Caenorhabditis elegans: one gene and its partners. The protein of the gene in region 3 interacts with the protein of the main gene of each other region in a pairwise test. Each region holds a gene or a part of one and is shown on either strand. Other genes may lie near its edges.

The links. Proteins that work in one complex are often made in the same cells at the same time.
Region 1: the proteins of F45D3.2 (region 3) and daf-12 interact in a two-hybrid assay, tested with the Caenorhabditis elegans proteins (one large-scale study listed by BioGRID).
Region 2: the proteins of F45D3.2 (region 3) and calu-1 interact in a two-hybrid assay, tested with the Caenorhabditis elegans proteins (one large-scale study listed by BioGRID).

The regions. Positions count from the first base shown.
Region 1 is NC_003284.9:10,642,841-10,647,467, forward strand, and holds the start of daf-12 (Nuclear hormone receptor family member daf-12), read left to right. Parts: upstream 1-1,599; coding exon 1,600-1,710; intron 1,711-2,997; coding exon 2,998-3,057; intron 3,058-4,627. UniProt on the Caenorhabditis elegans protein: Nuclear receptor which binds directly to response elements in target gene promoters. Activity is modulated by binding of steroid hormone ligands that include dafachronic acids.
Region 2 is NC_003284.9:4,969,006-4,972,584, reverse strand, and holds calu-1 (Reticulocalbin-3), read left to right. Parts: upstream 1-1,673; 5' UTR 1,674-1,689; coding exon 1,690-1,782; intron 1,783-1,837; coding exon 1,838-1,941; coding exon of another isoform or gene 1,942-1,993; coding exon 1,994-2,540; intron 2,541-2,591; coding exon 2,592-2,792; 3' UTR 2,793-3,051; downstream 3,052-3,579. Other genes in the region: M03F4.6 (EB domain-containing protein), read left to right, coding at 3,264-3,345.
Region 3 is NC_003283.11:12,539,339-12,543,529, forward strand, and holds F45D3.2 (Homeobox domain-containing protein), read left to right. Parts: upstream 1-1,700; 5' UTR 1,701-1,739; coding exon 1,740-1,829; intron 1,830-1,881; coding exon 1,882-2,452; intron 2,453-2,505; coding exon 2,506-2,642; coding exon of another isoform or gene 2,643-2,650; intron 2,651-2,937; coding exon 2,938-3,129; 3' UTR 3,130-3,639; downstream 3,640-4,191.

The sequences.
Region 1 (4,627 bases), on a different chromosome or scaffold from region 3:
CTGAAATGACCTTTAGGCACATTGCTAATCGTATTTCATTTTTTGGTTCCTCAAATTATTTTTTTTGAAAATAATTTTATTTGTCTGATAAGTGATCTTAAATGTAACTGATATTTTTTTAAAGTTGGATTCAAAATGAAAACATTTTCTAAAAATGGTTTTTTCAATTTAATTTTATTTAGTATTTCAGTACTTTCCTTTTTCCATTAATCAGTTGAATAGGAGATGTAATTTTTATTAAGTTTAATTTTACATTTTGTATTAAACTTATTCAAAAATAATTAATTTTTTTCCCTAAGTTAGTCAAAAATATTTTTTAAAACTTTTTTAATACTTTTGAGATAAATTTTTAGATTTTTTATTTCACTTTCGTGATTGTTCCATTTTGCAACATTATTCTGCATCAAAATACATTTTGAAAACATTGAAAGTTCTTCAAATGCCGCAACTCGATTTTATTTTAATTTCATCAATTTTCTTGGCCGAATATCAAATTTCTATCTGAAAATTAACTCAATCTTTTTGTTTTTGACTCAGAATTGAGTGCACCACAACTTATTTTTCAATTTCTTACATTCTCTAAAACCTTTTTTTGTTCGTTCCGTGCTGTTTTATTTCAATATTTCACCAGAAATGCATATTCTTCTCAGTAGGTGCAGTTTCATGTGTTGAGTGAATGAGACCACGACATTTTTTACAATTGTTCCGCTTTTTCCCTCCCCATATGCCATCTCAAATCCAAATTTCAAATGCCTTCCTCTCCAGCTTCTCATCTTTCCAATTTAGCAATTTTTCACGTCAAAATGAAACGAATCAGATTTTTGGTGCTAAGCATTAGGATTTGATGAAACAAACACACTATAATCAGAAGTGACAGATTTTCAATTAAATTTTTAGAGATAAATACATAATTTATCAATTTATGCGTGCCAGCAAAAAGGCAGAAATAGTATGAACAGCAGAGTCTACTTGAGACTAAATCTTAGTTCTACTCATCAACCAAGCGGATGAAAACATGATAATGAAAATGTACTTTTATTTCAGTTTAAATTGTAGATATCCACGCACCAGTTAACCCAGTTATCTGGTTTGTTTGTTTTTTTTTTGCTGGTCGTCAAGAACAACTTTCGATGTAGATAACTTTACCGAGCTTCATTCATCAAAAAACATTTTTTTCCCAATTTTTCGTTACAAGTTATAACTGTATATAATATCTAATCAAAAAGAAAAACTTATTTTATAGAGAAAGTTTTGACGAGATCTGTTTTGCCTAATCGAGATGTTTCAATTTTACAAAACTTTGCTCGCAATCAGTAGATATGTTTAAAATTAGCAGTAGCAAAATTTTTTTTTTTCGACTGTTCCACGCAAAAAAAAAAATCACAGCAGAAAAATGACAAAGTATTCACAAATAACGACCTCCCGTCCCCGTTCTTGTGTCTCTTCCGATCTTTTCTTTTGTGGCTGTTGATCACCAGTGTGTACTTTGGAAACTTATTCCTTGCTATTCCATGTTGCTCAAAATCTTGCTTTACTTGCTTTACAAAAACATAATGAAAATTTTTCAGCGCACATTTCGGCGCAACGGGCGCCAATTAAATGGGCACAAATGGAGGAGTCATTGCGGAACAGTCAATGGAAATCGAAACAAATGAAAACCCAGATAAGGTAGAGGAGCCCGTCGTGAGAAGGAAACGAGTAACCCGCAGGGTAAGTGATTTCTAAAATCTCACGGCTTTAAAAAATTGTATACCGAGAAGAGCCAGTACAAACTGTGTAAAGCAATCAAAAATGTGAAAATTAGTATAAATCGGCAAAAAGGTGAACAAATTGGATATTTACAAGTTATTTATAACAAACTTAAAGTTGAAACCGTATTTATAATTTTTTTCTCATCAGCTAAACAGAAGACCAAAGTATCAATAAAAGCTTGTGGGAATAGATGCAGAATAGTCTTGTAGAAATGACCTTTTTTGCAAAATATATTGCATCATTTTCACAAGAATGTGTTAACATTTATGTTTAAACCTCAGTTATTTTGTAGAAGTTTCGAACAAATGGTATTGAAATTTTCTTAGAGTTGATACTCATCAATTTTATTTAGTCTTAACTTACAAAGCCACTTCAAGCCTATCTACTGGTGTCAGTAAAAAAACACAAAATATGTAGTAACGGCATATCATGGTAGAACAATTTTCAAAATGTTCTCAATTTCATATTTGGTTTGAAAACTGAAAAATTCGACCATTCTGGTACAATCGGCATTATGAAACAATGTCCTCTCTGCAGCTATTTCCCCTTTTCCACTCAAAAATGTGTCGGAAATAAAATCTTACTTTCTAAAGTATTCGTAGAGCTTAAACGTTTAACTGTTATAAGTAACACATAAATATGTCTGCTTCTTTCTCAAAGAACAGCACTGATTTTAGAACGTTGACATGTCATCTTCGGCGGTCTGTGTCTAAATGTTCGATTTGTAGCGATAAGCGTTAGAGTGGCCAATATTTTCTGAGAACAAAAAGGAGTCATATTCTTATCATCTCTTTTCGTGCGTTTTCTATCTTTTGTGTAACCGTACCCTCCCACCACTTGTTAGCAGCAACATTTATTCTCTCTGAATTTCTACATCAAAAGTGCAATTTGGGGGAGTTGAAAACTGTTCGACCCTCCCAGCGCCGAAATCGACGGCTATCTTAACGGGGCGCCGAGATGAAGTAGGCAAAACAGATCATTGCAACAACACATACAATCGCCATCTATACTCTCACAGTGCCATGTATAGTAACTCTTTCCACAATTTCCACAAACTTCCATTCTATCCAACTCCATATTACTTTTCTGCTGTTTCTTACGAAACTCCTATTCAAACGTCAAAAACTCCGGGTTCAGCAAGTGTAATTGATGTTGAAAAGATTGACGACGATGATAAATCGTCAAGCCCAGCAAGTGTAATTAAAAATATCATAAATAATATTTAAATAATTTTTTTTATTTCAGCGCCACAGGCGGATACACAGCAAGAATAACTGCTTGACACCTCCAAACAGCGATGACGACGTTAGTTTGTTATTATGTTTTTTCAATCAGGTTAGATTATTATGACTTGACTCAACCATTGCACCAAGATGAAACTTTTTGTTGTTTTTGTGGTTGGCGGTAGTATTCTATAACTTTAAATTGCTAAACGATTTTCTTTTCTTCAATCAAGAATCTTATTGGATTTGAATTATTGGAGCTACATATATTTTCAGTTCATTGAATTTAATGCTCTATATTTTTGTGTGTATTCAGAAAACATGGTGTTAACAAATGAATATAATAACACTCTAAAGGACATTTAGTTATCAAACTTTAATTCAGTTTTAGAAATTTGTAATAAGCTTCTATTATAAGTTCAAAAAGTTCCATTCTGATCCGATCCTTCTTCTTATTGATTGTTTCTCATCAATTAGTCTTCATCTCTTTTTCGAAGTTCGGCGTATGTTTTGTGCAGCGTTAAACTCACGCCATTTTGCTGACGGGGAATTGTTTAGAAGTGAGTGGAGAGGAAAGAAGAACTGATGTTCTTGAGTGTGATGTGCTCTCAACATTCGAGAAAATGATGAGAGAAATTTCATGTGTTGAAGATACAAAATGCGCTCAAGATAATGGTGGACTTTTACTTCTACATCTAAACGCTTTTTCAATGAAACCTGTACTGGAAAAATTCGAAAGGAAAAATTCTGGAAAAGTCGTTCAGCTTTTACGATACCTGAAATAAATGAACTCATAGTGAGCTCTAGTTGAAATTATTCGGACCAACTAGGTCTGAAACAAAGAAGCTGTATTCTTGCCAACAACGATCAAAGTTTAAAGTCCAGTGTCATCATCGTCATCTTCAATATCTCAATTTTCATCTTCAAACAATCAACCTATCCACAACCTGTTCGGAACGCCAAACTACGGTAATCAGCGCCGGTGTTTTGATAAAGCGATAAGCATAAGTGCTCACACTTACTTCTTACTTACAATTAAATTCGCTTCCTTTTTGGGCCGTTCCAAGGTCAAACGGTGAAACACACGCACCGTACATATACACAGGACGCACTGAAGTTTTTGCTACTGCTGCCTGTTGTGTCGTCGTTCGGCCCCGATTTTTTTAAGTGTGTGTGTTCCATATTACCGCAAAAACTTGGGACCACGCCTCTCACAACACCTACTTTCTCAATTATTCCGAAAACAACAATGAAGTGCTGATGATACCATTCTACTATATACTTCCGGACGTCTATACTTCATTCCGAACACAAAAATCAAAAAATGACACTCGAAGCAAATGTGGCGGCACTTTCGAAATTCATGTCATTCGACAAAATGCTTGCAGCATTACGGGTGAGTAAACGTGAAGATTATTCAAATTGCCTTGAACAATCCAGAACAAGTAACCGTTTTTGACTCATTATTGTAACACTTTTTCTCAATCTTAAATGTTCAAACGTTCAAGTGTTCTTTTAGTTTGCAATTCCCACAAGTTTGGACATGTAGTTGTAAAATGTCAGTCACGCTTTTTCAAAATTATTCAATTAGTGCTCACGAGAATCAGTGAGCACCACCACATGATCTCCTTACACTCATCTCCTTTATTTTT
Region 2 (3,579 bases), on a different chromosome or scaffold from region 3:
ATGAATAACTTTTCTACAAATTTCTTTATTTATTTGTATCGTTCCATTATAACAATATCTGTTCGAACTATTCACCTTTATCTTTTATGTGTATTCGGTTCTTTTTGTTTTCGTTCCTCCTAACTGGGTAAGTGGGCCGCGCGCACGAGTGAAAAGATGTGATGTCCCTTTCCCCCGCGGTCCGGGGTGATAATCAGAGGCGCGTACAGGCCGATTTAGTTCTATGTAAGATATGGTTAAACAGATAAGTTGTATGATGGTTGAGGTAAGAAATGATTTGGGGTCACCGGCCGGCACGCCGCATTTCTAGGGTCGACACCACAGGCAAAAGACGAGATCTTTTTTGATGACGTGTTCCAGGCGGAGACGACAGCTGTGAAACAGAAGAAGATTCTCGAACGGTCCACACAACTGCTGCACGACGGCTCATCTATTTAAACCCTGCAGACGTGTGTCGCGCCGCTGACCGATTGACCAGACGTCTTTCCATTGACTTTCATTTGTTTATTCAAAGTAAGAATTCTATATAAACTAACTAGCCTCGGATTGTTTATTCTACTGTGAATCTTTAAGCAACCTTCACGGCAATGGGAGGCTTCTAGTTTGAGGTTTTCTTAACACTAGACATAGTATTTATGTGTACTGATAAGTTCTAGATCCCTGTTACGAATTTCATGTAGAACGTTCTACGTTTGAGGTTTTTGAAACTTGTATGAGTTCTCTCAATTCTCACTGAACAAAATTTCGAGAAAAGAAATTTGAAGAACATCTAGGAGAAGAACTACAAACTCATCCCAACAAGTGACTCGAGATTTGTACACGTGGCTCTCTTTTTCTTTCTGTGGACGAATGTGTGTGTGTGTGTGTCTCGGGGTTGTTCTACTCCCGCCGCAGTCTTTCTCTCTTTACCAGGCCATTGTCTGCCGCCTCCGCCCTCCCGCATAGTCTCTCCAATGTTTTAACTTAACCTCTGACTGCGTCTCCCGGTACACTGTACTCTCTGCTCTGAGAAATCGGCAGCCCCGGCAGGCACTGACCCCCATTTTGTGATGACCATCTCTCTCTCTCTCTCTTACAAGAGGGTTTCTTTTCCTCGCTCACTTCTTGCTAAAACTGTAGTATCCTGAACTGCATAGGTAGCCGAGAAGAAGTCACCGAATTTTCTCTTGATTCGCTTCGTTTGCAGCGTTCTCTTGATCATTTTTATTTCCATGAAGAAATCAAGAAATAACATTTATTTATATCTTATGCTACGTGTACTAATCTTTAGAACGAAACCCCTCCTCTTGAAACATTTAAACCCTGTGAAATCATAAGAGTAGCCTCTGGCTAACGTATAGGCATCGAATTTGTTTGCGTGAGCAGCAATATGAGGTATTGAGAAACTGTCAACACTGGCGGGTGAGATTGACAGTTCGCAAGCAGGCCAACTCACTCCTTCCAATCGGGCGTCTGTCCGTAGTTTTGGGCTGTCTTCCATCTTTCTGCCTTCAGACAATCGCTAGACGGTGCATAAAAAGTGTTCCCGATTGCTTGACCTATTTATGTATATCCTTTTAAAGAGCCGTCAGTATTCCCCACTTCACATCGTAATTGTTAATTAGTACACACTTATCCTATGTTTTGTATTCTCAATTGTTTTTGTTTCAAAAATGATTTATTTTTAATTTCAGGTAGTAGGATCTGGACATGAAGGTTCTTCTCTTCGTTGGTCTCCTCGCAGCCACCGCGCTTGCTTCCCATCACTCATCCGATCCATCGAAAGATGGTGAACATTTCAAGGTAATTTGCAGTTTTACGCATAATCTTTTACAAATATCTGTTCTGTTATTTTTAGGGAAAGGAACATGACAAGAAGTACGATCACGAGCAGTTCCTCGGAAAAGACACCGCTGCTGAATTTGATGAATTAACACCAGAAAAGTCAAAGGAGAAGCTTGCGTATGTTCTTTTAAAGTCTCATGACCTTCAAATCAACGTCTATTATTTTCAGCAAGCTCGTTCCAAAGATGGATGCTGACAGCGATGGCTTCATCGAGGAGAACGAGCTCAAGGATCACATCAACTTCATGCAAAAGAGATACGTCAACAACGACGTGGACCGTACCTGGAAGAACTACAAGGCCGAGAAGATTGTCGACGGAAAGATCAAGTGGGAAGACTACAGAGAGATGGTCTACGGATCTGCTGACGGAGCTGGCCAGGAGCTTTCTCCAGAATACGCTAAAATGATCGCACGTGACGAGAAGAGATGGGCTGTTGCCGACTACGACTCAAACGGAGCCCTCGACAGAACCGAATACGGTTGCTTCATGCATCCAGAAGACTGTGATCACATGAGAGACGTTGTCGTCGCCGAGACTGTCGATGATATTGATAAGAACAAGGACGGATCTGTGGATCTTGATGAGTACATTGGAGATATGTATAGACCAGATGATTACCCAGAGTTGAATGGAAAAGAACCAGACTGGGTTCAATCTGAGCGCGAAATGTTCAAGGAGCACAGAGACAAGGACGGAGATGGAAAACTCAATCAGGTATAATAATGTCTATAATATGATGTCTAATTAATAATGATTATATTTCAGGAGGAGATGCGCGATTGGATTATGCCAGTTGGATTCGACCACGCCGAGGCTGAGGCTCGTCACTTGGTTGGAATCGCCGATGACAACAAAGACGGAAAACTGAATCTCGATGAAATCGTCGCCCACTACGACACATTCGTCGGATCCCAGGCCACCGACTACGGAGAGCAACTCCAGAAACACGACCCAGCCGAGCTCTAAAATTTTTGTTTTTCTCCAAACAGTATTACGCGAAAATTCTCATTTGAGATCTGTTAGTAATAATAATGTGTGACTGGTCTTCGAAACTCATTCTTACTTAACAAAAAATGTTCACTGTTCTTATTTATCTCATTATTGTTTGCCTTTTTCAATGTCATAAGTATATAATTTTCAAGCGCATGCATTTTTGAATTTTTCGGATTTTTCGAATTTTACTGGTTTTAATAATTATCAACAAATAAAAGTTTATGCATTCAAAAATCCAATTCCTTACAGAACAACGGAAGGTTAATGAAATAATTTAGTGTGTCAAATGTGTACGACTTCGCCATGTCTTCGCACAGCGGACGTGGCGACGATCATGACGGTGTTGACCCCTTGATGATTTTCCTTTCATAGTCGCATCTCTGTCTCTCTTTCCGCAGGGAAATCTTCAAATCGGTTCTGTCCTAATTTTTCTTCGCCATAGTAATGCATAGCCCATTCATCCAAGTGTTATTCTTGTTTCTGATTATTGATCGATTAGCTTTAGCGTTCGATGTTCCGTGTGCACGTGAGTCAATTTGAATGTTTTATATCGTAGTTGTATGAAACATTGAGCTAATACATGTATACTGGTTCTTGGAATTGAAAATTTTTCTTATTATATATTTGAATAATGCCTATAATTTGTGAAAATTTCAGAAAAATTCTAACTTTATTACAATTAAATAACGAAATAATAAAGTTTTGAAATCCTAAAATCGCTTATTTTCAGAATTTCTATTTAATATTTCCAAATTGTATC
Region 3 (4,191 bases):
GGAGAGAAAATGTGTGTGTCGTCTATCTCTCCATCATACTCTACATGCCCTTTTGTTATTTCGCACTTCCCCGCAGCGCCAGGCCTCCTAGGCATCCCCAGACTGAAAGGTCGACCTCTCATACTTCTCCATTCCTTTTCCTTTCCTTTTTCTTCCTTATTCAAGCTTAATCTTAGTCAGATTTTCTGATAGATACTGACTCATTTTTTCTTCATAATGTAACATAACACATAACACCTGCATGTGAGATCTTGACGTGGTCAATTTGTACTTTTTGCTATTTTGTTATTGCTTCTCTAATCTGATCTGGTCTCAATCACATTTTTATCTTCCGTCTTCATGATGCCTTTTTGTGATAAGAAATGAGTTAGATAATAGAAATGAATAGCAAAAAAGCGAACTTTTAGTGATCACGATCAGAACAGTTATTGAAGAATAAAAACAAAACAAAAAGTTCATGATGTGTGTCCATGTGTCTGGTACATGTGTCTGTTTCAGTTATTCTGAGAACTACGTCAATTTCGTGCTCAAGTAAATTTTCATATTCCATAGTTAGAATATCAATCAGCTGCTATCTCTTGTATATTTGCCAACAAGTGCAGATAAATTTAATATGAACTATCTGAGCAATGCATAACCTGTGCCCAATAATGTTTTTAGTTTTACATCATTAATTTCAGCTGCTCGCATCTTATTAGTCCTTTCCATAATCTTCTTTCTTCTCCTCCTCTTTTGCACTTTTCCTAGCATTCTCAATGCCCCACCCACCCCCTTCTTCATCTTTTTTTCCTTTCCGAGAGCGTAAGTGGGCGGAGCCTTCTGTCGAGATGCCAGGACGTCAGTCACTCATTGCCATGCTACTCACGTTTTGGCTTGTCATTTTTTTGGTCACAGTTGTCAGGAAGCTTATCAAATCGTTTTACGCTTTCACGCAAAGTTCTATTCATATCAGTTCATTTTTGTAAAAGTGCATTTGAGTCACTGATTGTTTTTTAAGACATCGAATCCCTCATTTATCCGTCTAACCCTAAAATTGGCATCCGATCTTCCTTAAATCCTCATTTTGGCATCTTGAAAATTATTAGTTTAAGCAAAAAGTTCAGTTGAAGTACACTTGACTTCACCTTTTCAGTTTCCAGTTTTTGTCATGATCATCATCGTTTATATACCATGAAGGGCACCTTCATATCCTTTTTGGAACCAATTGCGCACGCCTGTCTGTCTCTAAAGCACTTCTTGTTTTTCATATGTGAGTGTGGAGAGTGAGAGTAAACCGGGAAAAAAACAACGACAAAGCTAGAAGGGAAAGTAAGAAAAAATAGAAGGAAAAGTGACAAAATAGAATAGAATAGACGTGTGTGTGTGTGTGCGTGGTCTGTGTATTGTTGAGGACACCGGTTCACCACTTTTTCCCTCGAATTCCCTGTTTGGCAGAGACTGAAGCTGAAATTTTTTGTTAGACTTCCGACATTTTTCCATCAAAACTTGATCACATTCGCTCAGAGATGAATCTCCAGTTTCAGTACACTTGCGGGCGCCGCCGCCGCCGAAATTCTGCACTTTGCCTCCAGATTCCCTTGTCCTTTTTGTTTTCGACACTGCGATTTGTCGTTTTGATTCACTAGTCTGTTCCTCCTTTTCCTATTTTTCTAATTCCTAAACGATTACAGTGACATTTGAAAAACGTTCGAATATTTTCAGGGATATCTTCTTTTCCCTTGCATTCAAAAGAATAAGAAATGGACCAACTGACTTCCCAGCTTGGAAGCGCTGAGCTTCAGGCTCTTATTGCTGCCTTGCCACATGATTTGACTCTTAACCCAGTAACTGTAAGTTTTAAATCAAATATGCAAAATATAAATCAAAATCTCATTATTTCAGAGCAAACCATCATCTGCATCAAGCAGTGATTTATCGGCATCTACTTCTACATCTTCATGTATTTTTCCTCCAATCAACGATATGACAGCACTTTCAATGCTTTCCCTAGGTGCCTATCCTGGCCTGTTCACTGGATTCCCACTTTTGTCTACTTTGCCATACTTGAATCTTCCACCACACTCAACAATCGAATCATTGGGACTTATCAACTCAGCCCTTTATCAACAACAAAAAGATGTTCAAGCTGCAATGAACTCACCAGTTAACCAATTTACTGCTGGATTAGCAGCTGATGGACGCCCAAGAGCATTTTCAAGCGCTGCCACTTTGCAACACGGAAAAGATCAAGAGAAACGACGAAAGAGAACAAGAAAGATGGAACCATCACTTCCAATTACAACAAGTACCATTACATGTTCCTCGAATTCGTCTCCCTCATCAAGCTCTATAACTACATCTGTGCTCCGAACATTAGTAGAAGATGATGATGCAGATGTGCATCCAAATAAAGTTCGACCAATTCAAGTAACAAAAGAGGAAGAGGATCTTGTTAGAAGAAAAACTCAAGAATGTAAGTCGTATATTCAAATTTTATAAATTTAAATTTACAATTCTAAATTTCAGTGCTCAAATCCATGCCCCTTCAAAAATTAGAGCCAGAAGTCAGCGCAAGTGGCCCACTTCGCCGTCTTATTCGAGACGAAGACCTTCCAGACGAGGTCGGACCAGATTCGCCATTCCGCCACTACCCAAAGTATCAGGTACACAAGTTAGTAGTTTTTCGATTCTTCCTTTTCTTAATAGTTTAAATCGAAATCTTCTCTCTATTCTTCTACTTTTTTCACATTTTAATGATATTGTCGTGCTTGACAGAACTGCATATTTTACAACCAATTTTTGTTTTAGAAAATTAATTTTAAAAACGCAGCTCTGGTGTGAAAGTAAAGTATTTGATTTTTATTTGATCTGTCATTAAGTTTAAATTGTTCAATAAAATTTCAATTTGCACACTCTTTGAAATTTGAAATACATTTTTTAAACTCTTTTTATTTTCAGCAGAAGCCCCGTTCACAACTAGTCATGCTTCAAGGAATCCAAGCGGCAGTCGCATGTATGTGCATTGAAGCTTTTCAACTCGACGATAAAACCGATGAGGAGAAAAAAGCTTTTTGTCAAAAACAACAAGGCCTTTCACTTGATGATTTGGTCAAGGAAACTGTGCGTCAGGAACTTGTAGCTGCAGAGTAGAACGTTTAGCTCTCATTATTTATACCTATCCACTTCTTTTTCGTTTTCAACCAGCTTTTACTCTAAGTTCAATTTTACTCAATATGGATAGGTTACAGTTTTCCCCGTTGAAATAGCCCCTATTTTGCTCTCAAAAACTACTCACTATTACGTCTCAAGGATCAACCGTTGCGTGTGCATTTTTCGTCTCCCCGTTCCATTTTTTGCTCTTCTCTTTTTTTTCTCTTTGACTAGAACTGTTTCTTTTGGATGGTCAAAGAGGAAAATTTAATTTTAATGTTTTTGAACAAAACTTCAATGCTTTAATATTTTATGTCCGTTTCATATTTTCCAACTTTGTATTTCCTGTTTTAAGCTTAAACCTTCATTTCCAAACGTCTCAATGTAATTCTCACAACATTGCCCAGCCTTTCAAATGATTAACATTTTTTTGTAAAAATTAAACGTTTAAATTCTAAAAATAATCAATCTGTACAAACAAATATGAATAAACATTCTGCAAATTGATAAGTTCATCCAAATGTAGTTTTCAGAAAAAAATAACACATCAAGTACCGTACTATTTTAAATCATGTGGCTTAGACTTTTGAGTTGTTTTCGACAAGTTCACGTCATTTTTCTCTCATTTCCAGTTTCCGTTTTGCACTTTCATTGATCAGTTACCCAGTTTTTAGGAAAATAAAAAAGGGCAATGGGGGATGCGGAAGTCTTTCAGCAGAATGTCACATTTTCAGAGAATGACCTTCGAAGTTTAGATGAAGACTGTAGTTGTTCAAAGCATAAACAAAATTTACAGTGAACTTACAACGTTTGCAAGTGCTTTTCAGAAATATGACTTATGAAGTACAGTTATTCCTAAGCAAACAAAAATGTGCCTGATGAAATAAGTAGCTAAACAACTCAAAAATAGAACGTGGGTGTCCGGTAAAAGCACTTTACTGTTTGAATTTGATTCAACAGCATTTTAAATAGAAGTGTGATAAGACAGCAACAATTTATAAGTTGGTAAATCAATTTTAGGCTATTTTGAATATTTAAAATAGGAAAATGTGTTAGTTTTTG